5 linked regions of the Sus scrofa genome follow. The protein of the gene in region 5 interacts with the protein of the main gene of each other region in a pairwise test. Links are inferred from orthologs where the notes say so. Each region holds a gene or a part of one and is shown on either strand. Other genes may lie near its edges. The genes, in order: CEP70, CEP57, ZNF276, ATF4 and GCC1.

Region 1 (5,396 bases), on a different chromosome or scaffold from region 5:
AATAAGGAAATATTTTGTGTTATTTCAACTTTCAATAGTAAATAAATATATAGAGAAAGAATAAAAATAAACATGGAATTGAATTACTTTATGATTGTTACACTGCCATGGATAAGGTTAAAATTATAAAGTAGCATTAGATTTTGGCAAGAAAAGAATGCTTATTTTAATATTTGAGGTAAACACTAAAAGAACAGTAAAAATCAGTTTCCTGATCCATATATTCCCTATGAAGAAAGAAGAAAGACAGACATTCTGATCTGATTACACTGACTTAAAACTAAAATTAGCTGCTTAGAACTTTAGAGGGCCCAAAAGTTTATCAAACTATATCCAAAGAAATTAACACATTGGTCTAAGTACAGAAAAAGGAAAACTGCACTGCAGAACATAGAAACTGCAAATACAAGTTGTCTTTTAGTTTCTGCATTTTCCCAGCAATCTCTCAATAACAATCTTTTTATGGTCAAACATGTTATTTTTCTTGATCTCTTAGCCACATATATACAAAAATCAATGTTTCCTTTCTCTCAACTGCAAAATATGCAGCACTAAACCACTCTAAAATTGGAAGAAGCATATGCCAAAAAAAAAAAAAAAAAAGAAGAATATGGAGTTCCCATCGTGGCTCAGTGGAAACAAATCTGACTAGGAACCATGAGGTTCGATCCCTGGCCTCGCTCAGTGGGTTAAGGATCCAGAGTTACCATGACCTGTGGTGTAAGTCGCAAACGAGGCTCAGATCTGGCACTGCTGTGGGTCTGGCATAGGCCAGTGACTACAGCTCCGATTAGACCCCTAGCACGGGAACCTCCCATATGCTGCTGATATGGTCCTAAAAAGCAAAAAAAAAACAAAAACAAAAACAAAAAAAAAAGGAAAGAGAATATGCTTCAAGCTGTACCATAATTGTTTTCCAGGAGCACTTTCATCTTCAAGAAAGCACAGATTGACTGGTATAGAACGGAATACATGACTAGTCTGCAAAAGAGTTCCCATTGTGACTCAGTGGGTTAGGAGCCTGACATAGTGTCTGTGAGTATGCAGGTTTGATCCCTGGCCTCATTCAGTGGGTTAAGGACCTGGTGTTGCCACAAGCTGTGGTGTAGGTCACAGATGCAGCTGATATGAGTGCCAAATGTAAGTAGAGTAGTCAAAAAAGGAATCCCTGAGAGATGGTGATCTAACACCTCAGTAAGAAATTACAAACCATGCAGCAATTGTTAAAAAAGCATACACTGGGGTTCCCACTGTAGCTCAGTGGTAACAAACCCAACTAGGATCCATGAGGATGCAGATTTGATCCCTGGCCTTGCTCAACGGGTTAAGGATCTGGTGTTGCCGTGAGCTGTGATGTAGGTCGCAGACAAGGCTCAGATCCTGCATTGCTGTGGCTGTAGTGTAGGCTGGCAGCTGCAGCTCCAATTGGACCCCTAGCCTGGGAACTTCCATATACTGCCCTAAAAAGCAAAAAACAAAAGCCAAAAACAAAAACAAAAAAACACCCCACAAATTCCCTGAGGTGAGAATGCTAAAAAAAAGCAAGAATGTCAATGTGGTTGGAGCAGAATAAGCAAGAGGTACAGTATTAAAGTCAGAAGGTAACATGATGCCAAATCGTATTAAGACCAAAATAGGAGAAAAATGAAGGTGACTTGGACCAGAGTGGAGACCAAAAGAAGAAAGTTTGAGGAGGAAATTCAGGAACTCGGTTTCAGACATGTAAGTTCTAGGTGCCTGTTAAACATCCAATAGAGATATCAAATATGATGAAGGATGTGACTCTAATTAAGACAAGAAGTCTGGGCTATAGATTTAAAGGTGCTGTGAGTTAGACTGAGCATCACCAAAGGAGTTAGAATTTATAGAAAAGAGAGAAGGTCTAAGGAATGAATTGTGAAATCTCAACACTAAGAGGTTAGGAAGATGAGAAGAATCAGCAAAGAAGGTGAAGAATAACCAGTGAGGTCAGACGAAAACCAGAAGAGAGGATGTTCTGGAAACCAAGCAAAGAAAGAATTTCAAGGCAACGACAATGATAGGTCAAGTAAGATAAGGACCACTGAATTAAGCAACATAGAAGTCATCTATGACCTTGACAAGCTGTTTCAACACAATCCTGTAAGAAAATGCGTAACTCAGTACCTGCAAAGCTTTATGCTCCTTCTGAAGCTCTCCTATTTTATTCTGTTGCTGGCAAACCCTATTTAGAGATTCATCCTCCATTTCACCAATTTTTGATTTCACACTCTCCATAATTTGTTCCAAATCATTAGCTCGTTGTTCCTGATCTGCTGCTCGGCTCTGTTCTAGCTGAAGTTCATTTCTAATAACAGACAAACAATTCCTTCTCTTAGTAATAAAAATAAATCATTCCAACAAACATATCCATCTAACAACATAATGAGTTTATAAAATTTCTTATAACACAAACCAACAGAAGAAATATAGGGAACCATTACATATCTAAGCTAAGTAAAAGACCTACTTACCTTTCAAAAATACTTTTTAACTTAATATTTAACCAAAGTGGAAAATTAAATTTCAAGATTCTTTTCAAGGGTTTAGAATGCATACCACTTGAACAGAAACAATTCAAGAGATTTTTTTTTTCCATTTTCTTACTTAAGCTGCGTATTAGTTTCTATGAGCTCCCGGATCATGTTCTGTTGACGTGATGTTTCTTCCATCAAAGTTTTTAAATTCTCTCTCATCCTTTGTGATGACTGTTTGTCAAAAATGATGAGATCTACATTTTTTGAAATGTAATACACATAGTAAAGATAAAGGTGAGGAAAAAAATTTTAAGATCAAAAATTTTTAAAGCAAAGAGAAATGTTTTTAATCTTAAAAAACAGTTAAGATCTGATTACCTTTCATATCTGTTCTTTTAACTAGAGATAACGGTTTCAAGCCATGTGTCATCAACAGCACATTTATGCTTTCCCATTCTTCTTCTTCCCGCTACAATTACAAGGAGAGAGAAATGAATCAACCTTAAAGTGAAGAAATACTCTCTTATATATAATTTCCTTTGTTTTCAGAATAACAGACTTTTTCTCCAAAAGCTTTAGTATGAACGTTTATACACATATAATGACTAAAATTAAAACAAAATTGGCAAACAAAAAGGATGCAAATAAGCACACATAATTACATTATGTAATTCCAGAATACTTATATATAGGCTTTGGTGGATAAATTAAACAAAAAAACTGGTAATTTCAATGAACCAAACAGACCTTAGGTTTTTGACTTAACTGAACCAGACCAGGCCCCACTCAAAATAATACAATCTAATTTGCAGTTTTAGTTTAACTGAATAGTAAAGGAAGGGTGAGTCACTCAGAAACAAGTGTCACCTCAACAATGACTAGGGTCCAAGAAAATCAAACTGTAACTGACTGGTCAGAGCCAATAATTTAAACAGTTCCTTGTAGAGTAGACAAGGTCTAACTTATGAAAAGGAACCTCACCATCTAGGTAATGATTATAGTAGAATCATTCTGAAAGACACTCAAGATTTGTATTTCTGATTCTAAATGTGTATTTATACCATAAACCTGAGAGGGGAACTCTAACTCTCTAGATTAAGTAAATAAAAACCTAAAAATGGGAAAAAAAAATAAGAATATGATATACAGCTGAAAACAGAAACAGAAATGACTTTTTAAAATGACACACTTAGGAGTTCCCGTCATGGCTCAGTGGTTAATGAATCCAACTAGGAACCATGAGGTTGCAGGTTTGATTCCTGGTCTTGCTCAGTGGGTTAAGGATCCGGTGTTGCTGTGAGCTGTGGTGTAGGGCGCAGATGTGGCTAGGATCTGGTGTTGCTGTGGTTCTGGCGTAGGCCAGCGGCTATAGCTCCGATTAGACCCCTAGCCTGGGAACCTCCATATGCCGCGGGAGCGACCCTAGAAAAAGGCAAAAAGACAAAAAATAAATAAATAAAAATAAAATAAAATGACACATTTAAATCCATGATATTAATACTTTTATAATGGGCTCTTTAAGTATAAAGCTCAATTTTGAAATCACTGTGTGAAGTATTTTGTGTGCTTTTTAAAATACCTTAACTATCTTATGTAGTATAGGTATAACATAAGTACATTTGTGAAAAGGTAATTTGAGTGAATTTTCAATCTATTTAAATGCCTAAAGATACATTTTATACACTTTTACTAGTGTATAGTATATAAATATTACAATAGCTTTAAGTTTAAAAATTTAGATAATTCTTGAAAGTACAAATAAAAGTATTACAACTCTCCACATCCATATGCCCCTCAGACATTAAAAGTGTACCAAGATAGATAAGCAACAAGGATATATCATATAGCAATGGAATTATAGCTATTATCTTATAATAACTTTTAATGAAGTATAATCTATAAAAACACTAATTCATGAGTTCCCGTTGTGGCTCAGTGGTAATGAACCTGACTAGTATCCACAAGGATGCAGGTTCAATCCCCAGCCTCGCTTAGCGGGTTAAGGATCCAGCATTGCCGTGAGCTGTGGTGTAGGTCACAGATGAGGCTCGGATCTGGAGTTGCTATGGCTGTGGTGTAGGCTGGCAGCTGCAGCTCTAAGGACCTCTAGCCTGGGAACTTCCATATGCCGTGCACACAGCTTAAAAGACAAACAAACAAACAAAAAAAACGGATTCACTACATTGTACACCTGAAACTAACATAATACTGTAAATCAACTATACTTCAATTTAAAAAATTATTCTGATGACTCTCTGATAGCACTATGACTCACAGTGCCAAACAACATTTTCCCTTATTTATATCTTCTAATCATAAAGATTAATGACACACAACTACAATTACTGCTGCTATATGTTTAGGAGCCAAAAGCTCTGTGTGGATATACAAGTAGATGTCTACTATGACTCGTAAGAACAAAATGTTCTATAAATAATGTTGTGCACTGTGAATGACCAAATTACACATATTGTTCCCTGATAGCTCTTTAAATAGAAAGAATAACATAACTGTTGCCAAATTCTGAAAGTAGTTGAGAATGGCATTTTCCAAAGTATGTGCTACATAACATCAGTCTACAGAAATATTCATCAGATTAGTGTTAAGTAAGTAGGAAATACTATATACTAAAGCCTGCTTTTGGAGACTGATGGTATTGTGAAATCTTAGAATATTGCTATCATGTAATAGTCTTTAACCCATCATTTCCCAAGATGATTTTATTAAAGAAGGCTTTATTAAGTTTTTTCACATTTGTAAATGTGGGATTCTTTGACATATACTATGAAAAACACTGGTTTCAAATATTTCAAGTTTACCTGTTTTTCAGTCATGACACTGGTTGATGATTTGCTGGATTCCTGGGCTTTAGGGGCTGCTGTAGATACAGTTTCTTTTGTA
Region 2 (5,396 bases), on a different chromosome or scaffold from region 5:
ACCCACCTGTCAATTTAATTTTTTTTTGTAGTCTCTTTAGGGCCGCACCCGTGGCATATGGCGGTTCCCGGGTTAGGAGTTGAATAGGAGCTGTAACCGCTGGCCTGTGCCAGCGGCCACAGCATCGTGGGATCCAAGCCGCGTCTGTGACCTACACCACAGCTCGTGGCAACACGGGGATCCTTAACCCACTGAGCGAGGCCAGAGGTCTAACCCTCCTCCTCATGAATGCTAGTCGGGTTCATTAACTTCTGAGCCACAGCAGGAACTCCTTAATTTTTATTTTGATGTTATTTGTTTTCAGTGAACTATATATAACAAACTATAAAATATCTTATAGTAGACATGTTTGTATTTGGCAGCTATATTTTCTGCTTTGAAGAATCTTCAAGATAAAATTCGACGTTTAGAACTTGAGAGGATTCAGGCAGAAGAAAGTGTGAAAACCTTGTCTAAAGAAACAATTGAATATAAGAAAGTACTGGATGAACAAATACAAGAAAGGGAGAATTCAAAGAATGAGGAATCGAAGCACAATCAAGGTTGGTTTAATTTTGAAGGAAATGAAACACTATCAAAACAATTATTTAAAATTATTCTGAAAGAAATTCCACATAGGGTTTTCTAGTGCTTAGTATCTGGAGGTTAATTTTATGGGTCATGATAAAATTACATTTTGCTCAGGTGCGTTTTGAGGAACAAGTGCTAATGTCCTGTGTTAGACTGACTGAATTCAGGGCAGATTGGACTAACATACAGAAACAGGCTTAGAGCATCTGAAAAGGGCTTCTAGAGCGCCTGGAAAATATTTGTTATATATGCTGTAGATTTATGTTAAACAGCTTGTTAAAACTAAAACTGTTCTCTGAGCAAACTAATTTCTGCTTTTCTTATGTATTCTTTTTAGAACTGACATCTCAGTTGTTAGCTGCAGAAAATAAATGTAATCTTTTAGAAAAACAATTGGAATACATGCGTAATATGATAAAGCATGCAGAAATGGAGAGGACGTCTGTATTAGAGAAACAGGTATGTCACTTCACAGAGTCAGTCTCAAGAACAATTAAAGAGAGGAGTTCCTGTCGTGGCTCAGTGGTTAACGAACCTGATTAGTCACCATGAGGCTGCAGGTTCAATCCCTGGCCTCGCTTAGTGGGTTAAGGATCCGGCGTTGCCATGAGCTGTGGTGTAGGTCGAAGACGCGGCTCGGATCCCGAGTTGCTGTGGCTGTGGTGTGGGCTGGCAGCTACAGCTCCGAATTCAACCCCTAACCTGGGAACCTCCATATGCCACCAGTACGGCCCTAAAAAGACAGACAAAAAAAAAAGAGAAATTAAAGAGAAAATTAATGTAAAGACATTTTTTTCTCAGTGAGGAGTAATACTGCTGTCATAAACAATTCTTCTATCTTAAAAGATAATAGTACCAATAGTTCATTTTGAAAAACTGCTAGTGGAAGCTTTGAGAAAAATGTGATTTTTTTCTTTAAGCAAAACTATGAAGAGGAGTTTCCTTTGGGGGAGCTCCTCACACGTACTGCCGTATTCTCTGCACTCAGCTTTGATAGCTTCTGCTTGTGAACAGTGTTGACAGCCCAGGACTGAAATTACTCGGGATCAGTTATGGTGTCCAAAAATTTGTTTTGTCTTCATTGTTATTGCTGTATTTGATAGAGTTTTACTTAGAGTTTTTACTAAACTATACATTTAGTTGTGTTTTCAAGTCATGATAAATTCTTTCATACATTATTAAAAGTGTAAATAAGCATGTTATGTACCTCTCTACCCCTTGAGTTTGTTAGACTCAGCACATTTCAGGGTGATTCATACTTTGAAAAAACTCTCTACAATTGTTATTTTAACAAAAATATTTTGCTGTTTTCACACCAGAGGTATTTTTATTTAACCTGCAATATCAGTCTCAAATATATTTTTAAAAGCATATCTCCTTTTCCTATTAGGAACCTAGAATTTGAATTCCTTATGAATATCCCAGTTTCTAGCCATCTTAACTTTATGATGCAAAAGTTGACTGTTTATATGCTTAACATTTCGCTGGATACCATGCAGTATGAAAGAAATTAAATGCTTTCCACCTCAGTCAACTTTGCATCATAGCTGGAGATGTTAGACCTAAAAGAACAGTGTGAATGATAGCACAAGAACATTTTAAGTAGATATTTCAATAATTAATTCTCATGTGTGCTACAGGTCTCTACTATGCCACTGAATTTATTTGTGATCATATTTTTTTGTTTCCAGTTGGGTCCTCTTCAGCCCATCTATTTTTGTTGTTATTTTAATGTACCATTAAACTTTGGTTTTTATTTCCTCCTTTTATCTCTTTGAACACTATAAAAATTCCCAGTCTTGGAGTTCCCCAGTGGCCCAGCAGTTAAGGATGCAGCATTGTTACTGCTATGGCTTGTTGTCACTGCTGAGGCTCAGGTTTGATCCCTGGCTCAGGAACTTCCTCGTGCCATGAATGCAGGGCCTCCCCCCACCCAAAAGAAATCCCAGTCGTCTTTAAATTAACTGATTTTTCTTATGAGAACTGTATATGTATGTTTACATATTTTTTATGATGAGCCCATATTCTTTGGAATTATTTATATTGGGAATTCCATTCTTCTAAGTTGAGTAGGCAGCCTTATAAAGTGATGGTAGATTTGCCTTTGCTGAGGATTTCTGGGTTTCCCTGCTTCTGATCTGCATTTATGATGCCTTTTGGCTTGAGATTCATGAATTGGGCAGATGGTACCTTGTGTGAGATTTATGTCATAGTCCTGGTATGCCTTATACAGCAAGGCTAGTTTTGCCTCATCTAGTATTTGGCTTCAGTATTTGTTCAGTTGCTTTTGAATTCTTTATTTATTTATTTTTTGTCTTTTTGAGGGCCATACCCGTGGCACATGGAGGTTCCCAGGCTTAGGGGTCCAATCAGAGCTGTAGCCGCCAGCCTACACCACAGCCACACCAGAACTAAGCCACGTCTGCGACCAACACCACAGCTCACAGCAACACCGGATCCTGAACCCACTGAGCAAGGCCAGGAATCGAACCCGCAACCTCATGGTTCCTAGTCTGATTCGTTTCTGCTGCACCATGAGGGGAACTTTATCTTTTTTCATCTGCAGGTTTCCCTTTCTTGTCTTCAGATTTCCTGTGTAATTATTATTTCTGTGTTTTGTCTAATATTTTATGTGATGGGATGGGAAAGCAGATGGTCAGCTCAGTCTGCCACATGATTGGAAATGGTAAAACATGATGTACAGTAATATAGCAGCTGTCTTCATGGGGATACTCCAGTTCTCAAGTTAGAAAGCATCCATGAGACAACAGTGAGATGTCTTGACTAACACATCTATTAAACATATATATGTCTTTGAACTAAGCCCTGTTTTCATCATTCTATTTTGAATAGCCTGTTTAATAAGAATACTGAAAGTAAAATATGATTTTTGCCAATTTTTAGCTTAATGTATTATTTTAAGGGCCGTATCTATCTACTAAGGTGATAGGGAATTAATAGTTCACATAAATTCCTGAGAAATTTATTGCTTTATATTACTTGTCATATTCAGATTTCTGTTAGTAGGATACCACTTGCTATAGACTTGCTGTATATGAGCTCACATGCTTAGTGTTTTGGCTTTTTACCAGTAGACCCCAATTTCACATATTTCCTCTTCTTATCCTAGTTTAATGGTATATTCTGTGACTATCAGTCCTTAAATCTGATAGGTTCCAGTCTTTTCAAATCATTGACTAAACCTAAAAAAAAATATGGTGGATGCTTTGCATAGAATTCAGAGGAAGGGGAATTCTTGTCGTGGCACAGTAGGTAACAAATCCAATTAGGAACCATGAGGTTGCGGGTTCAATCCCTGCCCTTGCTCAGTGGGTTACGATCTGGCGTTGCCGTGAGCTGTGGTGTAGGTCGCAAACGCGGCTCAGATCCCGCATTGCTATGGCTCTGGCGTAGGCCAACGGCTATGGCTCCAATTGGACCCCTAGCCTGGGAACCTCCATATGCTGTGGGAGCGGCCCAAGAAATGACAAAAAAAAAAAAAAAAAAAAAGAATTCAAAGAAAGTGTAAATGATAGATACTAGAACTGTAATTATTGCCTTAAGAGGTTAACTAATTAAGAGAACCAGACTACTTTTAAGTATTTGTGTGTAGCCTGCATATCTAGTAAATGCCCGCTGTCACAGAGCATCATGAGTCTCACTGCAAGAAACCAAATGTTATGAGAGGAATATCATAAGAATGGGATTGATTGCACTTGTATTTATTGGTGTTCCTGTGGTTTCATCTTAGTATTGTTTTCTTAGAATTCCTTTGTAGTATCTGAGTGATTCTATGAAAGGCCAGACAAATAGTGTACAGCATCGTACTCTCAGTGTTGGTTTTTCAGTTTTTTGTCAAATCATCATGCTGAATTTATATTGCTTCCTAGGTTTCCCTAGAAAGAGAACGGCAACATGATCAAACACATGTTCAAAACCAGCTTGAAAAATTGGATCTTCTTGAACAGGAGTATAACAAGCTTACCACAATGCAAGCCCTTGCAGAAGTCAGTGAAAATCTCTTGTACTCATCAGTGCATAATTTAGTTCTTTTGTAAAATCACTCATTGTATAATACTGGATATTTTATAGGGCAAAGAGCAACTTTGTAGCAAAGAAACATGTAGGATTTTTTAAAAAGAGGAAATGTTCATATTTTACAATCTTAATGTACATAAGGAAGGGGTTCTTTTTGAAAATGTTGACAGATTATGTCAACATTTGACAGAAAATGTTGTTGAAAATGTTTTTGAGTACCCTTAAGGCTTCTGTTCAAGTTATTCTCTGTACTAATTTTAGTTTTAGTTGAGCCATTTGAGAAGTACTTAATACCACTGAGACTATAAATTTCCAGATTCAGCTTCCATGTAGCCTGTATTCAGTCATAAAGAGCCGTGTTCTTTGGTCATAGATTTTACCCATAATTCTGTTGAATCACACTGGAGAGCCGTGGATGCTGGCAAGCCCAGAGCCATTACTAGAGTGAACTCACAGCATATAATTACTATGCTAAAACTTTATAACACATTTCTGTGTCTTATAGTAAAATTTTACAAGTAGACACTGAAACTGTTTTCACTCATCACTTTTAATATTTTTATCCCTAGAAAAAAATGCAAGAGTTAGAAGCCAAACTCCGCGAAGAAGAACAGGAAAGGAAACGTATGCAAGCGAAGGCAGCCCAGGTAAGTTAAAATGTGAGCAGGTAGGCTCCTTACATTTCATATTACTCTTTATATATAAATAGATACGTGTGGGCTGCTTCAATTATTTATATTTTGGAATGGTCCTATATGTAAATTTGCAGACCCTGCTTAATATGGAAA
Region 3 (5,983 bases), on a different chromosome or scaffold from region 5:
GTCTTGCTTCCACCCCAGCCCATCTCCATCCTCTTAGTCACACTCAGGCTTCCTGAGCGCTCAGCCACCCAGCCTCGGCCAGTGACCAGGCAGGTAGGACACAGGACACGCCGTGGTGAGCCACAGACCCTGGGGCCCATCAAAGGCTAAGCCGTCCACCGTGTCCCTGGCCCAGGAGGAGCTGCAAGGTGGGCACTATACCTTTGGTGGCTTCCACTTCTTCCAGCAGCACCTGGGCGATATAGTGGACGCTCCTCAGGTATTCGGTATATGCCTCCTGTGCCCGGTGAAGGGAAGTGGCAGGGGTCAGGCCAGTGGAGGCAAAGAATTCCATCGTGCCTGCCCGGTGCCCTTGTGGAAACACAGGGAGAAGGGTGCCTGCCCTGGCTTCACGTGCTCAGCTGGCTGGCTGGTAACTGCTCACCCTGAGGCACAGAGTCCCCTCTTCTCGGGAGGTGACGCTGGCATCACTCCGTCATCTCCCACACAGGAAGGAACTCAGGCTCTCATTCAGTGGCCAGAGGAGGCAGTCTTGGCAGCTGCTGCATTTTTCACTCTGTGCCACAAGTTTTTTTCCTGTGCAGTTCAGGGGCCATTCATTCAGTGGGCTTAACAAAAATATTTCCTGGGAGGTGAATCAGGGAGTGATACTGCAAATCTCAATCATTTTCTGGCTTAGGTTCTGGGAAATCCCTTTTCTGAGCTCCAGAATAAGTACTTCCTGGGCATCCAGGGGTCTGGCACTTTCAAGTTCAGGGCTTCCTGACAGCTCACGCATGTAGAGCCAGAGCAGGGTGCTTTGTTTTGTTTTGTTGCATCCCGGTTCTTAAATTACCCACCTTTAGGTCTGCACCTTAGATATCAGGGTAACACGGATTGCTGGAAGGATTTCTGACTTGCGGGGACACTTGATGCCCTAGCATCCCAACTTACGGACAGCAGCGAATGGAAGCCGGTCCCAGGTACCCGCGGCCTCCTTCCCTCCTTGGGACGCCTGCTGTGGCTCGGCTGGCTGGCCCAGACGGTCGCCGCCTTTCGGATTAACACCTGTTCTTGGGGACCAGCCACACCCCTCCCCCGCTGGCATTTTCTTTCGAACAAGCCCTGAAGGCGACTGCAACGCCGCAGTTAACCTCTTTTGGATTCCGTCCCCTTTGGGAACCTGACTGATCTGCAAGGTCCGCCCCCAACAAACGCATATACGGGACTGCCTGCCAGAACACTCTGGCGGGGGCTGCCTCACCAACCCTCCTGGGTCCCCTTCACAAATGAAAGCGCTTCAGCTCCAATTCCCCCCTCGCCCAGCTGCCGGGAAAACAGGCCCGGAGCCGGCGGGAGCTGTCCAAGGTCACGGCCGAAGCCGAGCCGGCAACCCTGAGCCGCCGGAAGGGGCCTGGGGGCGCCCACCCCGCGGCCCCGCCCTCGCCCACGCCCACCGGGCCGGGGCGGGTCGGCGACCGCCCCCACCCCGCCCCACCCGCCTCACCCGGGGCCGGTTGCCGGTGTCCAGCTCGATGGCCCCGTTGGCCAGCTTCATGGCGCACTGCAGGGGCTTCACCGCGCCGTCCCCGGCCGCAGCGGCCATGGCGCCGGCGGGAGAGGCGGCGGCTGCGGCCGCGGCCGAGGGGCGGGGCCGGGGGCCCGGGGCCCGGAACGCCAGACGCGCGGGCGCAGGCTCCGCCCGAGCCCCGGACCGCCGGAAGAAGCGGCACCGTCGCGGGCGCACTTCCGGCGGCCCCGCCCGCGGCGCGCTGCGAGGTCGGCTCCTGGGGCCGAAGGGGAGGAGGCGCGGGCGGCGGAGCTCTCAGAGAGCTTCGCGCCGTCGCCGAGGGCGTCTGAGTGCCCCCGGCCGGCGGAGACGGGCTCGCCGCGCAGGCCCCGCCCCTTGGCCGCCGCGCTCGGCCCGGCCCCGCTGTCCTCCCCCCGCCCCTCCCGCGTCGCCCCGCCCCTTCCAGGGAGCCGGGCGCTGGGGAACGGAAACAGGCGAGCACCGTCCAGCGGGGCGGACGGGAGGCTCCGGGCCGAGCCACCCCGAGCCCTGCCTCGCAAACAGGCCGGCTGAGCGAGCGGGCCCGAGCGCCGGGGCCGGGCCCCAGCAGCCATGAAACGGGACCGGCTCGGCCGCTTCCTGTCGTCCGGGCAGCGCGGGAGCACCGGCGGCAGCAGCTATGGCGGTGGCCGGGCCCGGGGCCGCCCCGCCCGCAGCGGGCCGACCGTGGCCGAGGCGGCGGCTTTGGTGGCGGCGCGGCTGAGCTGGGGCCCCGCGCGGGCCTGCGCGGACGCGGGCGAGGACGGCGCCGACGAGGCAGGTGGGTCCTGCCTGCCGGGCTTGAGGGGCGGTGGGGCCTCAGCGCCCCCCCCCCCCCGCCCCGGCCCAGGGTGTCCCCGCTCCTCAGAGAGCGGGCGGGGCCCCCCCTGCCGAGGCGTGGGGGCGGCCTCCCCGGCGGACGCGGTAGCCTCCGCGGGGAGAAGTTTCGCAAGACAGCTGACCCTCGGCGCCGACTCTGGGCGCGCTGAGTAATTGGTGCTCGAAGGAGCCGTCGGGCAGGTCCGAGTTTCACTCCTGGTTTGCCCCGTGCTGTGCAGCCTTGAGAAAATTGCTTCATCTGTAGGGGCCTCAGCTTCCTCTTCATCGAAGCAGAACTAAGAGTGCCGGGTTCCCTGCCTGGCAGGTGGTACGGGCGTTAAAATGTACTTGGCCTGCGTGTGGTACTTTTGCCCCTGGAGAAGGGCTTTTGCTGCGCGCATTTAATCCTCCCGGGGGGCAGGTGGCATCGCCTGCACTCGCAGACAGGACACCTGGGGAAGCAGAGCTGCACGGGCGTCCTCACGTCTGGTCGCAGGAGGGTCGTGTGAGGAGGGAGAAGTTTTCAGCTTAGTTTATGAAGTTCCGTAACCATGGAGGCATTTATTTACTCAAGAAATATGTACTTATTTTTTGTAAAAAAATGTTGAGGTCTAATTGCCATAAAACATGGTAGTGGTTGCAGGTGTACAATGTAATTGATGTTGTATTTGTGCATGTGGTGAAATGACCATAATGTGTCTAGTTAACACCCATCACCACGTGTGATTCCAAGTTTGTTTTCTTCTGATGAGAACTTTTAGAATCTGCTTTTTTTTCTTTTGTTTTTTAGGGCGTCACCTGTGGCGTATGGAAGTTCCCAGGCTAGGGGTCCACTTGGAGTGTGCTGCCGACCTGCATCACAGCCAAAGCAAGACGGGATCTGAGTCTGGTCTGCGACCTACGCTGCAGCTCATGGCAACACCGCATCCTTAACCCACTGAGCAAGGCCAGGAATTGAACCCGAGTCCTCGTGGATGCTAGTTAGGCTCGCTTCCTCTGAGCGCCAACGGGAACTCCTTTTAACTTTTTGAGGAGTCTCCCTACTGCTTTCCATAGTGGTTATACTGGTTTAGCTGCCCACCAGCGGAGCGTGGGGCTCCCTTTTCTCCACGTTCTCACCTGCATGTTGCTACCTTCTGATGGCCCTTCTGACGGGTGTGACGTGGTAGCTGATGGCGGTTTTGGTTTGCATTTCCTTGACGATTAGGGATGTTGAGCATCTTTTCATATGTCTGCCTTCTTTGGAAGAGTGTATATTCAGATACTCTGCTCGTTTTTAAATTAGATGCTTTGTGTTTTGCTGTTGAGTCCTGGGAGTTCTTCACCTGGGCTGGATATTAACCCTCATCAGGTGTACGACTGGTCAGTAGTCTCTCCTGTTCGGTGGGTTGCCCTTCAGTTTGGGGATGCTTTTCTGTGCTGTGCCGCGGCGGCCCCATTGGTTTCTTCTTGCCTGTGGTGTCAGTTCAAAAAATCACCCCGTGACGGATGTCAAGAGTTGCCCTGTTATTTTCTTCTGGGGGTTTAGGGTTTCCTGTATCTCACGTCCTTCATCCCCCTTGAGTTGCAGTGTGGTGGTAGAGTGGTCTGGCTGCACTTTCTGCACGCAGCTGTCCAGCGTTCCCAGCATCACTTACTAAAGAGACTAGTCTTTCCCCGTTGAATGTTGTTGGCGCCTTTATCATAAATCAATTGACTATATATATATACATGAATTTATTTATTTATGTATTTATTTTTAATATATTTTTAAATTTTCCCACTGTACAGCAAGGGGGTCAGGTTATCTTTACATGTATACATTACAATTACATTTTTTCCCCCACATGAATTTATTTTTTAACTGTTTTTTTTTTTGCCTGTGGCCATGGCATGCACAAGTTCCCAGGCCAGGGAGTGACAGTGCCAGATCCTTCACCCACTAGGGCACCAGGGAAGTACTCCATGAATTTGTTTCTGGGCCTTCTGTTCGGTTTCGTTAGTCTGAGTGTTTTTTGCCAGTCCCGTGCTGCTTTGATGACTGGAGGTTTATGAGATAGTTTATAGTTGAAACCAGGAAATGTGGTATTTCTGGCTCCTTTCTCTGGAAGGAAGAACTAGAAAGATCTTCTAGGTCTGGTTGCCTCTGTTTTTCTTGCACAGGATTGCTCTGGCTTTTCGGGGTCTTTTCTTGTTCTATGTACGTGTGAAGATTGTTCTGTTTCTGTGAAAAATACCACTAGGGTTTTGGTAGGATTGCATTCCACTTGTAGGTGGATTCGTAGGCTGTGGAACATCTGTCCGTTGTTCATCTCGTCAGCGTCCTACAGTTTCGGGTACAGATCTTCACCTCTTTGGTTAAACTTATTTCCAGACGCTTTATTCCTTTCTGTGGCCAGCCCATGGCACGTGGAGTTCCTGGATCCCTAACCCACTGTGCTAGGCCAGGGATCGAACCTGGATCCTGGGGCTGCGGAGACACTGCCAATCCCATTGTGCCACAGCAGGAACTCCAGTGATTTATTCTTTGTGTTCTCTTGATTTATGATAGTTTGTTATTAGTGTATGAGAAATCAGCTGACTTTTTTGTGTATTGGTTTTACATCCTACAGCTTTCCTGAATTAGTTTAACAGTTTTTTGGTGGCGTCTTCTATACATAATGTTATCTGCAAAGAGAGATAGTTTTACTTCTTTATGATTTGGGTGACTTTTTTCTTTTTCTTTCTCTTTTTCTTTCTCTTTTTCTTTCTTTTTTTTTTTTTTTTTTGCGATTTCTTTGGCCACTCCTGCGGCATATGGAGGTTCCCAGGCTAGGGGTCGAATCGGAGCCGTAGCCACCAGCCTCCACCAGAGCCACAGCAACGCAGGATCTGAGCTGTGTCTGCAGCTGACACCACAGCTCACAGCAGTGCCAGGTCCTTAACTCACTGAGCGAGGCCAGAGCTCGAACCTGCATCCTCGTGGAAGCCGGTAGAGTTCATTTCCACTGAGCTCCGACGGGAACTCCTGGCCTGTAGTTGTCTTTTCTTGTGGTTTCTTTGCTTGTCTGGCTTTGTTATAGCAGGGTAATACCGGCCTTGTCTTGGAGTGTTTAGAATGCACCGGAAGGTTTTCTGGACCTAAAGGCCCTCCCTGGCCATGTCTCCCAAAGGATGTATATTTAGCTGGGAGCTCGGAAGCGGTCTGCCTCTGGCCCAGACATGGACCAGAAACTTGTGTTTAAGGGGCATGGAGGCCCCACTCCAGGAGCTGAGTGGCTGGAGGAGCCTGGGCCTCACCTGCCCTGGGAGCCGCGTTCTGCCTGCTCTGGGCAGCAGGCAGCCTCCCCGCTGACTTCATGTTTCCTGTGCTTGCCCAGGAACAGCCCGGGCCCTGGCCATGGGCCACTGTCGCCTCTGCCACGGGAAGTTCTCCTCCCGGAGTCTGCGCAGCATCTCCGGCAGGGCACCTGGGGAGAGCTCCGAGAGACCACCCCCCGGGGAGCGTGTTTTCGTCAGGGACTTCCAGCGTCTGCTGGGGGTGGCTGTCCTCCAGGACCCAGCTCTGTCTCAGTTTGTCTGCAAGAACTGCCTCGCCCAGTTCTACCAGTGCCACGGGCTTCTCACGTGCTTTCTGCAGAGAGTCAACGTCTCCCCGACGGGCCATCGGAAGCCTGG
Region 4 (6,025 bases), on a different chromosome or scaffold from region 5:
CCGTCTCCTTTCTCACACCCCGATTCCAAGCCCGCTGACTGACCGGCTCAGCTGGCCTCTGCTGCCCACGCTGAGCCCCGCCAGAGCGAGGCTTCTCGAGCAGAAGCCAGCTTGTCCCTCCCGCCCCCGAGGCTCCCCAAGTCACTCAGCTGACGCTCAGTTCACACGCTCCACCCCAGGCCTCTCCTCCCGGCCCGAAAGTGCGTCCTGAGCAGGTCCTCCCTCCTGCTGTCCCGTCAGGTCTGTTCACTGGCCGTCTCCCTCGCAGAAAGGACAGCAGAGATGTGTGTTCTCACCACTGAATCCCCAGCCCTCAAAAGGGTCTAGCACACAGTGGATGCGCATGAATCTTTGCAGAGACATGAAGGCTATTTCCCGACCTCCAAGACCTGCGTCCTCAGAAAGGCAGCAGGGGCCTGGCGATGGACCAGGAGCACCCCCACCTCCACCCCCGCCACCAGCGGTAAGACCCAGCCCGCCTCTGCCCTTTATCAGCCCACAGGGCTCCACGTGCAGGGGGCTGGGTCTCACTCCAGTAAACATACATTCATAGCCGTGCCTCGGAACGCTCAGGAAATGGTTATAAAGCTGCAATTTCTTCCTCAGGCACTGCTGCAGGTCTTGGAGATCAGGGCACGAAGTGACTGCAAAACTGGGTGTCAGAGCAGGAAATAAACATGTATACACGTCAACTGGAGAAAGGACCATGGGGGGGCAAATGAGCGGGAAAGGTGAGGGGCGGAACACCAGCAGTCACTTTGGATGGCCTTGGGAGTGACACTGGAACCTTGCAGGAGTTGAGGAACCAACGGGAAACCCTTGCAAAACAGCAAGTGCTGAAGCTGAGGCCAGGTGAGCTCACTGGGGCACAGGAAGTGAACGGCAGAGGCCCCTGCCTCCCGTCTTTTGGGTCTGGGGAGGACTTGGCTGCAGGGACCTGTGGAGAGGCATGCACACATACTCTGGCTTCAGACACCCTCACCTGCACTGCCCCTCACAGCAACCCAAAAGGGCTTCCTTCTAAGCCAGAGTGGGTCACCCAGATTGGCAATGAATGACTGGCATGAGCCTCATCAAAGAGGGCAGGTCACTTCCAGGGCTGCTCTCAACTCACCACACCCCCTCCTCCTGCCCCCCCACCCCATTGTCTGCTGAGTTGAGGCAGAGGGAATTACGGAGCGTTTGCACTTTACTTCTGACCCTGGTGAGAAAAGTGGCTCCAGGGGGGATTGACTGGAACATTTATCTGAAGAAATCAGTCATCAGCAGTACGTTCACTACAAAATAATTTATTGCAACACACAGCTAAAGCCCTAGCCTATGTACAAGCACATGCACACCCCTGCCCGGCAGCTAGGGGGCGCGTTTCTTCCCCGTGCCTTGCGGACCTCTTCTATCAGATCTTTGAGATACTGAATCTCCTTGGCCAAGGAATCTGCCTTCTCTTTCAGAGCTTCGTTCTTCTTTTCCAGCTCTTTACATTCGCCAGTGAGGGCCTCCTGCTCTGCCCTCTTCTTCTGGCGGTACCGAGTGGCTGCTGTCTTGTTCTGCTCCATCTTCTTCAGCTTCTTATCTAGTTTCTCACCCTTTACTTTTGCTGCTACCACCTTCTCTCCAGGAGGATCATAGGGTTTGGGCCGGACAGAACCACAAGGGGCCCCGGGAGAGAGCAAGCTCCTACTTGGAGAGGCCCTGGAGGTGGAGGGACTGTGCTGGGGAGAGCCCAGATAGGAGTCAGGGCTCATACAGATGCCACTGTCATTATCTGAGGGGGCATCCTCTTCCTTTATGCATTGAGGAATCAAGGTAATGTAAGTAGTGGAGTCTGGCTTCCTATCTCCTTCCGAGATTTCCACTTCACCCTGTATCTCTAAACTAAAGGAATTATCTGGAGTGGAAGACAGGGCCCCTGGGGAAAGGGGAAGAGTTTGCAAGAACGTAAAGGGGGCAACCTGGTCAGTTGTTGGTAAACTTTCTGGGAGATGGCCAATTGGGTTCACTATCTGCGGGGGCTCCTGGAGTGGGGGGTCAAAGAGATCACATGTGTCATCCAACGTGGCCAAAAGCTCATCTGGCATGGTTTCCAGGTCATCTATACCCAACAGGGCATCGAAGTCGAACTCCTTCAGATCCATTTTCTCCACCATCCAGTCTGTCCCGGAGAAAGCATCCTCTGCAAGAGATTTAAGAGGGACGGAACCCAGAGTCAGATGCACGCGGCAGCAAGGCTTTATCACCAGACCCCACCGGCAGGGAAAAGCCCACTCACCCTTGCTGTTGTCTGAGGCACTGACCAACCCATCCACAGCCAGCCATTCGGAGGAGCCCGCCTTAGCTTTGTCGCCGGAGAACCCATGAGGTTTGAAGTGCTTGGCCACCTCCAGATATTCGTCTAAGAGCCCTAAGCTCTCTTCAGCCCCCAAACCCGACGGGTCGAAGGGGGACATCAAGTCCCCCACCAACACCTCGCTGCTCAGGAAGCTCATCTCGGCCATGTTGCGGAGTTTTGATGGAATCGAGGAATGTGCTTAATTCGAAGGTGTCTTTGTCGGTTACAGCAACGCTGCTGCTGAATGCCGTGAGAAGCCTTAACAGGAACCAGAAACCAAGCCCCATTAGAGAACAGCTGGTCTGAGCCTTTCGCCTCTCCACCCCCGGGGCAGGACGGCCAAATCCCGACCCCGTGTGGTTGTTGAGACTTGGGGGCCGCTGGCCCCGGCTGCCAACCTTCCCCGCGTCCGCCTGGCGGCGCAAGATGGACGCCCGGCCGTTCCCCGACCCGCCACCAGAGGAAGGCGCCCGGTCCTCCCGGCCGAGTCCGGCCCCGCCCACGCCCGCCCGTGACTCACGCCGCGGCCGCCGCCCTGCCCCGCCGCCATCTTGGCTGCTGCCACGTTTCGTGGAGCCCCAGGGGGAGCCCCGGCCCCCCGGCCGGGGCCGGAGGTACCGAGGACTTCGCCCCACGCCCGAACAGCGCAGCGGCCTCTCGACCCAGGGGCGCTGGCGCTTCGGCGTCACCCCATCAGCGGCCACGCGTCCCGGGCGCTCGTAAAACCGCTTCCCCCTCCGCGACGCCGCCGGACCGCGCCCCAGCATCAGACAAGAACCCTTCACCGACCCGGGGGGACACGGCCCAGAGCGTCGGGCCCCGGTACTTACGCCATGGCTTAAGCCGCTGGGGGGTGCCGCTGCAGAGCCTGGTGCTGCTGCCGCCGCTGCAAAGGCCAATGCTGCCGCAGGCACTGCTGCCTCTAATACGCCATGGCGGCCGCGGACCCTGCGGGAGCGGAGGAAGAAAAGCGCCCACTCGCAGAAAAGGACTACATCTACAGCGGAGAGGAAAAGAAATGGCGGCGGTTCGCCGAGCGCGGGTCCTTTATAGACTCTGCCTCTGTGGGACGCATCACAGAGAATATTCTTCCGCCTAGGTCACGTGACCAGCGCCTCCCACCCACGCGCTTTCATTTAACCGACGCCCCTACCATTTCCAGTCTCTGACTTTTATGTCGAGGGCGAAACTGTGAGGACCAAATGAGTTACTTTTATTTACAGCCTCAAAAAAGGGCGCACTACTTTACAAGGCTTTTGAGATCTAAGGATCACCACCGTCCGCTGCCGGGATGCGCGGAAGGATCTTGCACAGCTACTTCCGGTGCTAGCCCGAGAGGCGGAGACGAGTCTTTCACCCCAAGAAGGGCTTTTATTGTGAAGTACGAGGTCTCCTGGTTATCGCGCGAGCTACTGGCGGAGAGCGCGCGTCGAAATGATTGGTTAGGCATGGTGAGTCATATATACATCGAGTTTCTATTGGCTCAGGCTCCGAGGCGGGCGGGTTGTTCAGCGAGGGAGCCCCTGATCTGCGCGGGAAGGTGGGTGAGGTTCCCGCCGCCGGGCCCCGGCGTCCTGCTCGCCGTAGCGCCGCTCTGCAAAGGCTCCCTCAGCCCCGCCCACCCAGCTGGCCTTGATTGCCCCGGGCAGCCCTGGCCCAGATCCAAATAGTGGCGTTAGGTCCGAATCCTCGTGGTCCTTTCCTGCCGCCCTTGGAGAAGCTCCGAACTAGGGACCGGGTTTAGGCCCGAATGTGAAACTAGTCAAGAGTAAATGTTATTTCGTCTGTTTTCACTTGCACACACTTGCAGAATACTGAGGACGTGTGAACCCTTCAGTAACTGGAAGGGGAGACTGATGACCTCAGCTGAGATCCACCTACCATCAAAGGCCTGCTCTGCGTCCTGACTCAACTCTGTAGAGGCGAGTCGAGTGGAGGAAATCCATAATCCTGTGGTCTAAACAATTGTATTTTTACATATCCATTCTGCTAAAATACAAGTTTCCTTTTATGTTAAAGAATGAAACCTATGACAGGGGAACTTCTTTCAGTTTATGTAGTTTCACTTCCCCTAAAAATGAGGTATTTTATTTAGCTGCTCTTTCTCACTCTAGGGTAGTTTCAATTATTTACCAACTCTGTAACTCCGCGGCATAACCACTTCCCAGCAAGTCCTACTGCCTGGGTGCTTGATCAGACCTGCCCACTTAGGGGAATTTGTGTGTTTGGAGGCCACAGTCCAGGTTAGGGCCAGTAACTTGCCCTCTCTACTGGGGAACTGTCAAGAGCTAGGAGAAAGCTCTTTCACCATCTTCCAGTCCTCCAATCAGGCCCTGTAGGGAAACCTTGAGTTTCCACTCCCCTTCATTTCAGTGGGCCCTACAAATATTATTTCTATGAGGACAGTGAGGTCAAAAATTGGTCAGGCACTTCCTACATAACAACTAACCATTCATTGATTTGAGTCAGTCTAGCCCAACCATTTCTTTACAGTGGTAAGCTGATGACTAAAGGCATGACATGTCTTGCCTGGTGTGGGCAGTATGGGGTAGGAGTTATGACAGATTTAAGGGCCAATTCCAAAAAATCTTGGCTTTCCCATTTATTAGTGGAGACATTCTGGTTAAGTGACTTACCCCCACTGAGTCTTCGTTTCCTGATCTGTAAAACGAGGCTAATGATGGGTATCCTCATCCTTAGAATGAAGTTAAGATAATATATTCACAGCACTGAGCCGTGCGCCTGGTACCTGGTAAGTGCTGGATAAATGGTTGCCATTACTCCTGTGACTAGAACGCAGGTCTTCTAACCCACCTCCCATCCCCATCATATCCTGCTCCCTCAGAGGACTGTTATTTACTGAGATGAAATCAACAACTATAAACAGCTGGTCTAGGAAAGCATACTGGATACTAGGTATGGTTTTTCTTTCCCCTTGGGGAATCTCAATTCTCTGGAAACATGTACAAGGCATCTGGTCTTTTGGTGCAAAGACAGTAAGAATCCCGAGCCACTACCCCCGAGCCACTACCCAAGTCTTCCAAAGGTGTCATTAAGGAGCCACGGGGCATGTCCTCCTCTCTGCTGTATGGGAGACTTGTCAGTGCCTCTTGATGGATGTCCATGCAGATGCTTAAGAAGTAAAGTAACACTGCCCCAATTGGACACCGTAGGAGTGGAATAACCCCATCCGTTCTATTATGGAGACCCCAAGCAAGCACTCTGATGCACCAGTACCACTCACGTAGGAAACTATTTCCCACCACACACACGAGTCAAAGCTGTTGGAAAGGAGACGTTTCTTTTCTTTCCAGGTTGTGGAAGGGCAACGTGTCCCCCAGCTTTATTTCCTCCCTCAAGGAGAAAAAGGATAGTAGTTTTCTGGGTCTTGGGGCTAAGCTGCTTCTATATGGACAAAACAAGGAAGACTGATGACTGATTCCAAATCTATCAGCTAAACACATCAACTGCTCACTGAAGGGCAGATTAGTGACTGGGAGGCAGGTTGTGGACTTGGTTGCAGGGGCCAAGAAAATACAGATTATGAGGCGATCAGAAGGAAAAGGTAAACAAGCTGCATGCAGTTAACTCCAGACCCCACATCTCTTGTTATTTGGCCACCTAGAATCAGCAGCATCTGGAGGCTCAGCAGGTTAAGGATCTGGCGTTGTCACAGCTGTGGCTCAGCTCACTGCT
Region 5 (6,137 bases):
ACTCCTCTCCATGGCTGTCCAGAGGGGACCGGCTGGAGGCCGCCAGCGCCAGCGTCCTGTTCTCCAGGTCCAGCTGCAGAATGCGCTCCTTCAGCTTCTGGATGGTCAGCTGGTCTTTTTGCTTGGCTTTCTCATAGGTGCCCAGCAGTTCTGACACCTCGGATATTTGATTTTCCAGGGCTGCCACCCTCTGCTCTTCCACCTGCGACTGCTGGCGTAGCTGATCCTCGGCCAGGGCTGTCTGGAAAACAAGGGAACAGATGGAAGTGCATCCAAAGAAGCCACAAGGCCTGATGGCAAACTCTGGGAAGGCAAGAGAAGGTGCTGCAGAAGGGTCACGGGATGGGGGTGGCCTGATAAAATGGGAACTGGGAAGTTTTCTTCTCATTTGGGAGCTAACCCAAGTTCCTATAACCTGCTTGGGGTCTGCTCCCAGACACACATTGTACTAAACAATAGTAAGGACCTTCGTAGATCTGCTGTTGTCTTGCTTATTATTTCTTTCTTTTTTTTTTTTTTTTTTTTTTTTTTTGTCTTTTTGTCTTTTGTTGTTGTTGTTACTATTTCTTGGGCCGCTCCCGCGGCATATGGAGGTTCCCAGGCCAGAGGTTGAATCAGAGCTGTAGCCTCCGGCCTACGCCAGAGCCACAGCAACGCGGGATCCGAGCTGCGTCTGCAACCTACACCACAGCTCACGGCAACGCTGGATCATTAACCCACTGAGCAAGGGCAGGGACCGAACCCGCAACCTCATGGTTCCTAGTCGGATTCGTTAACCACTGTGCCACGATGGGAACTCCTTGCTTATTATTTCTGCTTTCTCCTCCCATAGGCCAAGCTCCCACAAAGTGTGCTTCCCCAAATCCCATGAAGAAACCATATGACATTCTTTTCCTTTTCCAATATTCCTGGAAGTTCAAAATTGACTTGGGGAGTTCCTGTCGTGACTCAGTGGTTAACGAACCTGACTGGCATCCATGAGGACACAGGTTCGATCCCTGGCCTCGCTCAGTGGGTTAAGGATCCGGCATTGCCATGAGCTGTGGTGTAGGTCACAGACTCGGCTCAGATCCCACACTGCTGTGGCCCTGGCATAGGCTGGTGGCTACAGCTCTGACTGGACCCCTAACCTGGGAACCTCCATATGCTGTGGGTGTGGCCCTAAAAACAGAGAGAGACAAAATAAAATAAAATAAAATTGACTTGGATTTCTCCCCACACTGAAAGGAGACATTGGAAAACAGCATACCTTTCCAGAAAAGGCAAATGTTGACTGCCAGCAATATAAGAGGTGATCTCTTCTGGAAAAAAATCCCTTTACCCCCTTCAGCCACCCTACCTAAAGCCATACACTGCTACCTATACACTGCTACACTCTTATCGTTCACTGCGCAGCTGCCACTGCACTGCTTCAAAGAGCAGAGCTGGTAAGATGCCAATGCCCAGACGCTCAGCGCTATCTGGCTCCAATCCAGCCTACACTCAGGAACTCCACATCCTGTTGGAAGCACATTCTGCAGAAACTGTCAACACCACACAGACAGAGTTTCCTGGTGGCCTAGTGGTTAAGGATCCAGCATTATCACTGCTGTGGCTCACGTTTGATCCCTTCACCCAGGAACCTCTGCATGCCTCGAGCACAGCCCAAAAAAAGAAAAAAGAAAGGAAAAGAAAAACACCACCACACACAGAAAAGGATTTCCCAGGACTCACAAGTGAAACTTTTTGAATGGCATCAAAAATCCACAGTGCATGGAGTTCCCTTTGCGGCTCAGCGGTTAACGAACCCTACTAGGATCCATGAGAATGTGGGTTCAATCCCTGGCCTTACTCAGGGGGTTAAGGATCCAACGTTGCCGTGAGCTGTGGTGTAGGTCACAGACGCAGCTGGGATCCCGAGTTGCTGTGGCTGTGGCCAGCAGCTGTAGCTCTGATTAGACCCCTAGCCTGGGAACCTCCATATGCCACAGGTGTGGCCCTAAAAAGCAAAAAAAAAAAAAAAAAAAATCCACAGTGTAGCCACTTAATTCTAACTACCAAAGGAGGGAAAAAAAAAAAAAAAAAAAGCCCTAATACTTCCCAGGCTAAATGACTAATAATTACCTTCCTCATTTCCTGCTGCAACTGAGCCTGGAAATGGCTCTTAAGGCAAGCGGCCTCTTCCTGAAGCTCCTGCAGTCGGGGGTCCGGCCGATTCTTCTCATCTCGAAGAGCCTGTAGCTCACCTTTCAGCTCCTCCACCTCACGGGTCAGCTGCTTGGTCTGCAGTTCAAACCCTTCCACCTGACCGGCTGCATAGGCCTGTCCAGCCAGAGCTTCTCGAGTCTCTTCCAACCGAAGCTCCAAGTCCTGGCGCTGAGTCCTCTCCTCCTGCAGCAGTTTCTGGAGCTCACGCAGCATCAGGGCATGGTCACTCTGCTCTTGGGCCCGATCATGCTGTTGCGTGATAAGTCGGGCTTTGGTTTCTGCTACCTGCTCCTGCAGCCCCTTCAATTCTCCTTCCAGACGGCCCCTCTCCTCCTCTAACTTCTTACTGGCATCCTCTAGGTCCTGTTTCATCTTCTTTTTGTCAGCCAGATAAGAAGCTTCCATGCGGGACTTCTCCTGGGTGACTGTGGCCAAAGAGCTGGTCAAAGTAGCCAACTGAGTCTTTAGCTGGTGCACTCGTTTGTCCACCTCACCACCTCCAGGCGGTCCATCCCCACTGCTACTGCTAACGCCGCTCTCTGACCCGCTGGCCTCCTCGGACTTTGGAGGTGGTGGTCCACAGGCCGGTCTGTCATCTTCAACCCCAAACTCACCCTTGGTACTGGTGAGACTGGCGGCAGTATCCAAGCTGGTGGCGGTCCCAGTGCTGTCTTCGCTATGAGTGGAGCATCGATCATCCACAGAGTCGGGAAAGGTGAGGCTTTGGGGCTGGACACCTGCAAGGCCCACATCCGCCTCGTGGGATACCGACAGCACCTTAATGCTGGCCTCCAGCGCCTCTTTCTCTTTCAGCAGGCTTTTATAGGCGCGGACTACATCCTTGAGACGTGCCTGGTACTGGAGGAGCTGCTTCTTCTGCGTCTCAATGGTCTCCAGCAGGTCCCTCTTGCTCGGGCCGCCCCCGAAATTCATCCCAAACTTCTCCATGACGGTTCAGGACGGCTTGCTCTACGACAGCGTTCGGACAGGCTGGGAGAGGGTCACGAAGATGTTGGCGGGGGCTGTGAGCGACAGGGAGAGAACTGCCCACCCCCCCCCGCCCCGGCCGCACATCTGCTCCTCACAGCTGTTCGACACCGAATGTGGGGCGCGGCGGGGCAGCCAGGCAGAAGCGTCCGCCAGATCCCTGACAAGAGGGTGGGGGCTGGTCCTATCCTAGAGGAACAGACTGCCAAAGCTCACCAGAGGAACACACTGCCAGGGCTCGGCCCCACTGTTCCAGAGCCGCTCCGTGCCCCGCCGGCACCAGGAGCCGACGGTTTAAGCTGAGCTTAGCCGCATCCCGACTTCCTAACTCTAGCCACGAGTCAACAGCGCTTCCGGGTCCGGCTGGAAGTGACGACAGCGTGACGCATCAGACCCCGCCCCCAGTGAGCGCGAGGTGGGCGGGGTTAGTTCAGCCGGCGGTCTGGAGGCCGTTCAGCTGGGCCTCCAGCTGTTTGCTCCTGGCTAGAGCAGAGCAAGTAAAATCGGGTACCCAGGAGTGATGTTGGTTTGGTGAGGGCGCCTGATTTTGCCCTAGCGAGGGACCAGGACGACGTCGCACCGCGTCCTTACCAAAAACCCGGGTAAACGACGATGTTTGGGGGCTCAATACTTTTGCCCCTAAAGAGCAACAGTTAAGACTCCCATTTAGACCATGAAAATGGCAACCCTTTCGAGGACAGTATTTGGAACCCAGTAGGCGTACAGTATAATAATTATTAGCATCCTTCCTGAGTTCTGAGGTTATTCAACAGAGAGAAATATATATAGCCACGCTGTCCATCCTAAGTGCCAAATATATTGCAGGAAGATCACAGGAATTTTGCTGTTTAGTCTTTATAGTAATTCTGCTGAATGGGTATTATTAGCACTATTTTATAGAGAAACTTGAAGCACAGAGAGGTTAAGTGACACTCCCAAAGTCACACACAGCCAGTAAGTTTAGAATCCTATCAAGATCAGTCCCACTCGCCACATATCAAATGCTGTGCTAGATGATCACCTTGAAGAGATAAGGTCTTGAACACTGTAAACCAGCTATAATGAAAAAGAAATAAAAATCATTATATATTTTAAAAAAGAGAGAGAGAGAAGGTCTTGCCCTCAGGGAACCCATATCTAGAGAGAAACCAGATGTGCAAACACAATTATATGCAAAGGGGTATGGAAGTTAAGAGGAGCGAGGCCTGTTTAGAGGAGACAAGCCTCTCAGGGGAACTATTTTGAGATTTGAATGATGAATACTGATTGCCCATCTAACCGGAGAGGAGGGAAGCATTCCAGGCAGAGAGGAAAACGTACAAGGACTCCTAGGGCATCAGAGAGCCTGGGTCCTCCCGGGGAAGCACTGGGAAGCATTTCAAGGCAGTAGCTTAGGTTTTGTGAAGGAGGTGGCAACAGATGGGGCTGGCAGAGTAGATGAGGACCCAAATTAAGGCATTTGGATTTTATCTTGGGTAATAAGACACTAAAGGATTTTCATCACAAGAGTGGCATCATCAAATCTTGTATGACAAGGTGGAGAAACCGAGGTATAGAAGGCTATTTTCAGTCATGGGGATAAGATGGTAGTGAAATAGAGCAGTGACAACAAGGATGAAAGAGGCTAATTAAAAGAGCTAAAGATGTAGAACTGATCTGACTTGGTCACCAGTAGCTGTGTTGTTATATTTGGATTCTTTGAAATGTGCTCTTCAACCTTGTAAAAGCCTTCTTAGGAATGCAGAGTAAAAAAGAGTCAGGTACTCACTCATTCCTGGTGCCTAACATCTGTTCTCTTTACAGACTGAGGGTCAGGATGGGCCCGATACTAGAAATCTGGTCAGACCCAGTTTCTTGGTGGCCCAGATAATATCCAGCTGCATCAAACAAAAATTCAGGTACATTATCTTATCATCTCATTCTTCACTGTAACTTGGGACAGATAGTCTCCTTTTATAGATGAGAAAATGACAGGTTGTGAGTATTGTTGAATTTAAGCCCTCAAAAAAAAAAAATGCAGAACTGAGATTCAAACTGAGGCATGGAACAATGGCACTCAATAAATATTTGTTTAATGAGTGAAGGAAGGAAGGAACGTTCTCTGATTCCCAGCTCACCTCACCATGTCCAGTCCATAGGGATTGATTCTAGAAGCCCAAAGGGAATCCAGAACAGGCAAAAACACCTGTCCATGCTCCACTGAGCAATCAGTTAGTCCATTCAATCCAGCCAGCATTTGTTAAGCATATATTAGGTGACCCAGTCTCCACCATAAAAGAAATTTAAATTAATTCCTATCTTGCTATTTCCCCTCAGATGCTAAGGTGAGTGGGAAAATAGCTCATGAAGCTCTTCAGCCTTACAAAATGCTAGCTAGCTATGCATTAAAGGTGCAGGTTGGAGTTCCCTTCGTGGCTCAACAGAAACGAATCTGACTAGCATCCATGAGGACGCAGGTTGGATCCCTGGCCTCGCTCGGGATCCGACGTTGCTGTGAGCTGTGGTACAGGTCGAAGACAGAGCTCCATCTGGCGTTGCTGTGGCTGTGGCATGGGCCTGCAGCTGTAGCTTTGATTCGACTTCCATGCCGCCGGTGCGGCCCTAAAAAGACCCCCCCCCAAAAAAAATAATAAATCCAGGTTCCGCTTTTCAAACTGAGGAAGGAGCTTCAGAAAGGTTGCCTGGTTCGATTGAAAGGCATTGTTTCCAGGGCCATCGAGGCAAGGCAGAATTCTCCAGTATGCAGGAGTAGTATCTACTACCCCACCGCCTAGAACTGGAGATCCTCCACTGGTTCTGCTGCAGGCGTTTTAAGAAACCATGAAGGGCATCTTCTTTCACCTCTGGCGCATTCCTCTAGAGATTCTAAGGTCACTGAAGCACCTGCCACGTTCAAAGTCCCTGACTGGGAACTGAGAAGACAAAAGGAAGGACTAAGACACCTGCGCGGAACTGCCGCTTCG

What was found.
Region 1: the proteins of GCC1 (region 5) and CEP70 interact in binary tests that used the Homo sapiens proteins (3 or more experiments, as listed by UniProt). The two-hybrid records come from large-scale screens. The link is inferred for Sus scrofa from reciprocal best matches to the Homo sapiens genes GCC1 and CEP70.
Region 2: the proteins of GCC1 (region 5) and CEP57 interact in binary tests that used the Homo sapiens proteins (3 or more experiments, as listed by UniProt). The two-hybrid records come from large-scale screens. The link is inferred for Sus scrofa from reciprocal best matches to the Homo sapiens genes GCC1 and CEP57.
Region 3: the proteins of GCC1 (region 5) and ZNF276 interact in binary tests that used the Homo sapiens proteins (3 or more experiments, as listed by UniProt). The two-hybrid records come from large-scale screens. The link is inferred for Sus scrofa from reciprocal best matches to the Homo sapiens genes GCC1 and ZNF276.
Region 4: the proteins of GCC1 (region 5) and ATF4 interact in binary tests that used the Homo sapiens proteins (3 or more experiments, as listed by UniProt). The two-hybrid records come from large-scale screens. The link is inferred for Sus scrofa from reciprocal best matches to the Homo sapiens genes GCC1 and ATF4.

Annotation. Positions count from the first base shown.
Region 1 is NC_010455.5:79,354,648-79,360,043, forward strand, and holds part of CEP70 (centrosomal protein of 70 kDa), read right to left. Parts: coding exon 5,315-5,396; intron 2,965-5,314; coding exon 2,874-2,964; intron 2,750-2,873; coding exon 2,626-2,749; intron 2,327-2,625; coding exon 2,146-2,326; intron 1-2,145.
Region 2 is NC_010451.4:27,836,485-27,841,880, forward strand, and holds part of CEP57 (centrosomal protein of 57 kDa), read left to right. Parts: intron 1-362; coding exon 363-542; intron 543-907; coding exon 908-1,029; intron 1,030-4,460; coding exon 4,461-4,577; intron 4,578-5,177; coding exon 5,178-5,255; intron 5,256-5,396. UniProt on the Homo sapiens protein: Centrosomal protein which may be required for microtubule attachment to centrosomes. May act by forming ring-like structures around microtubules. Mediates nuclear translocation and mitogenic activity of the internalized growth factor FGF2, but that of FGF1.
Region 3 is NC_010448.4:309,393-315,375, reverse strand, and holds the start of ZNF276 (zinc finger protein 276), read left to right. Parts: upstream 1-1,955; 5' UTR 1,956-2,101; coding exon 2,102-2,309; intron 2,310-5,685; coding exon 5,686-5,983. Other genes in the region: VPS9D1 (VPS9 domain-containing protein 1), read right to left, coding at 202-277, 1,487-1,585. UniProt on the Homo sapiens protein: May be involved in transcriptional regulation.
Region 4 is NC_010447.5:8,741,695-8,747,719, forward strand, and holds ATF4 (cyclic AMP-dependent transcription factor ATF-4), read right to left. Parts: upstream 4,059-6,025; 5' UTR 3,160-4,058; intron 2,588-3,159; 5' UTR 2,496-2,587; coding exon 2,270-2,495; intron 2,174-2,269; coding exon 1,314-2,173; 3' UTR 1,270-1,313; downstream 1-1,269. UniProt on the Homo sapiens protein: Transcription factor that binds the cAMP response element (CRE) (consensus: 5'-GTGACGT[AC][AG]-3') and displays two biological functions, as regulator of metabolic and redox processes under normal cellular conditions, and as master transcription factor during integrated stress response (ISR).
Region 5 is NC_010460.4:20,699,106-20,705,242, reverse strand, and holds the start of GCC1 (GRIP and coiled-coil domain-containing protein 1), read right to left. Parts: upstream 3,559-6,137; 5' UTR 3,136-3,558; coding exon 2,104-3,135; intron 242-2,103; coding exon 1-241. UniProt on the Homo sapiens protein: Probably involved in maintaining Golgi structure.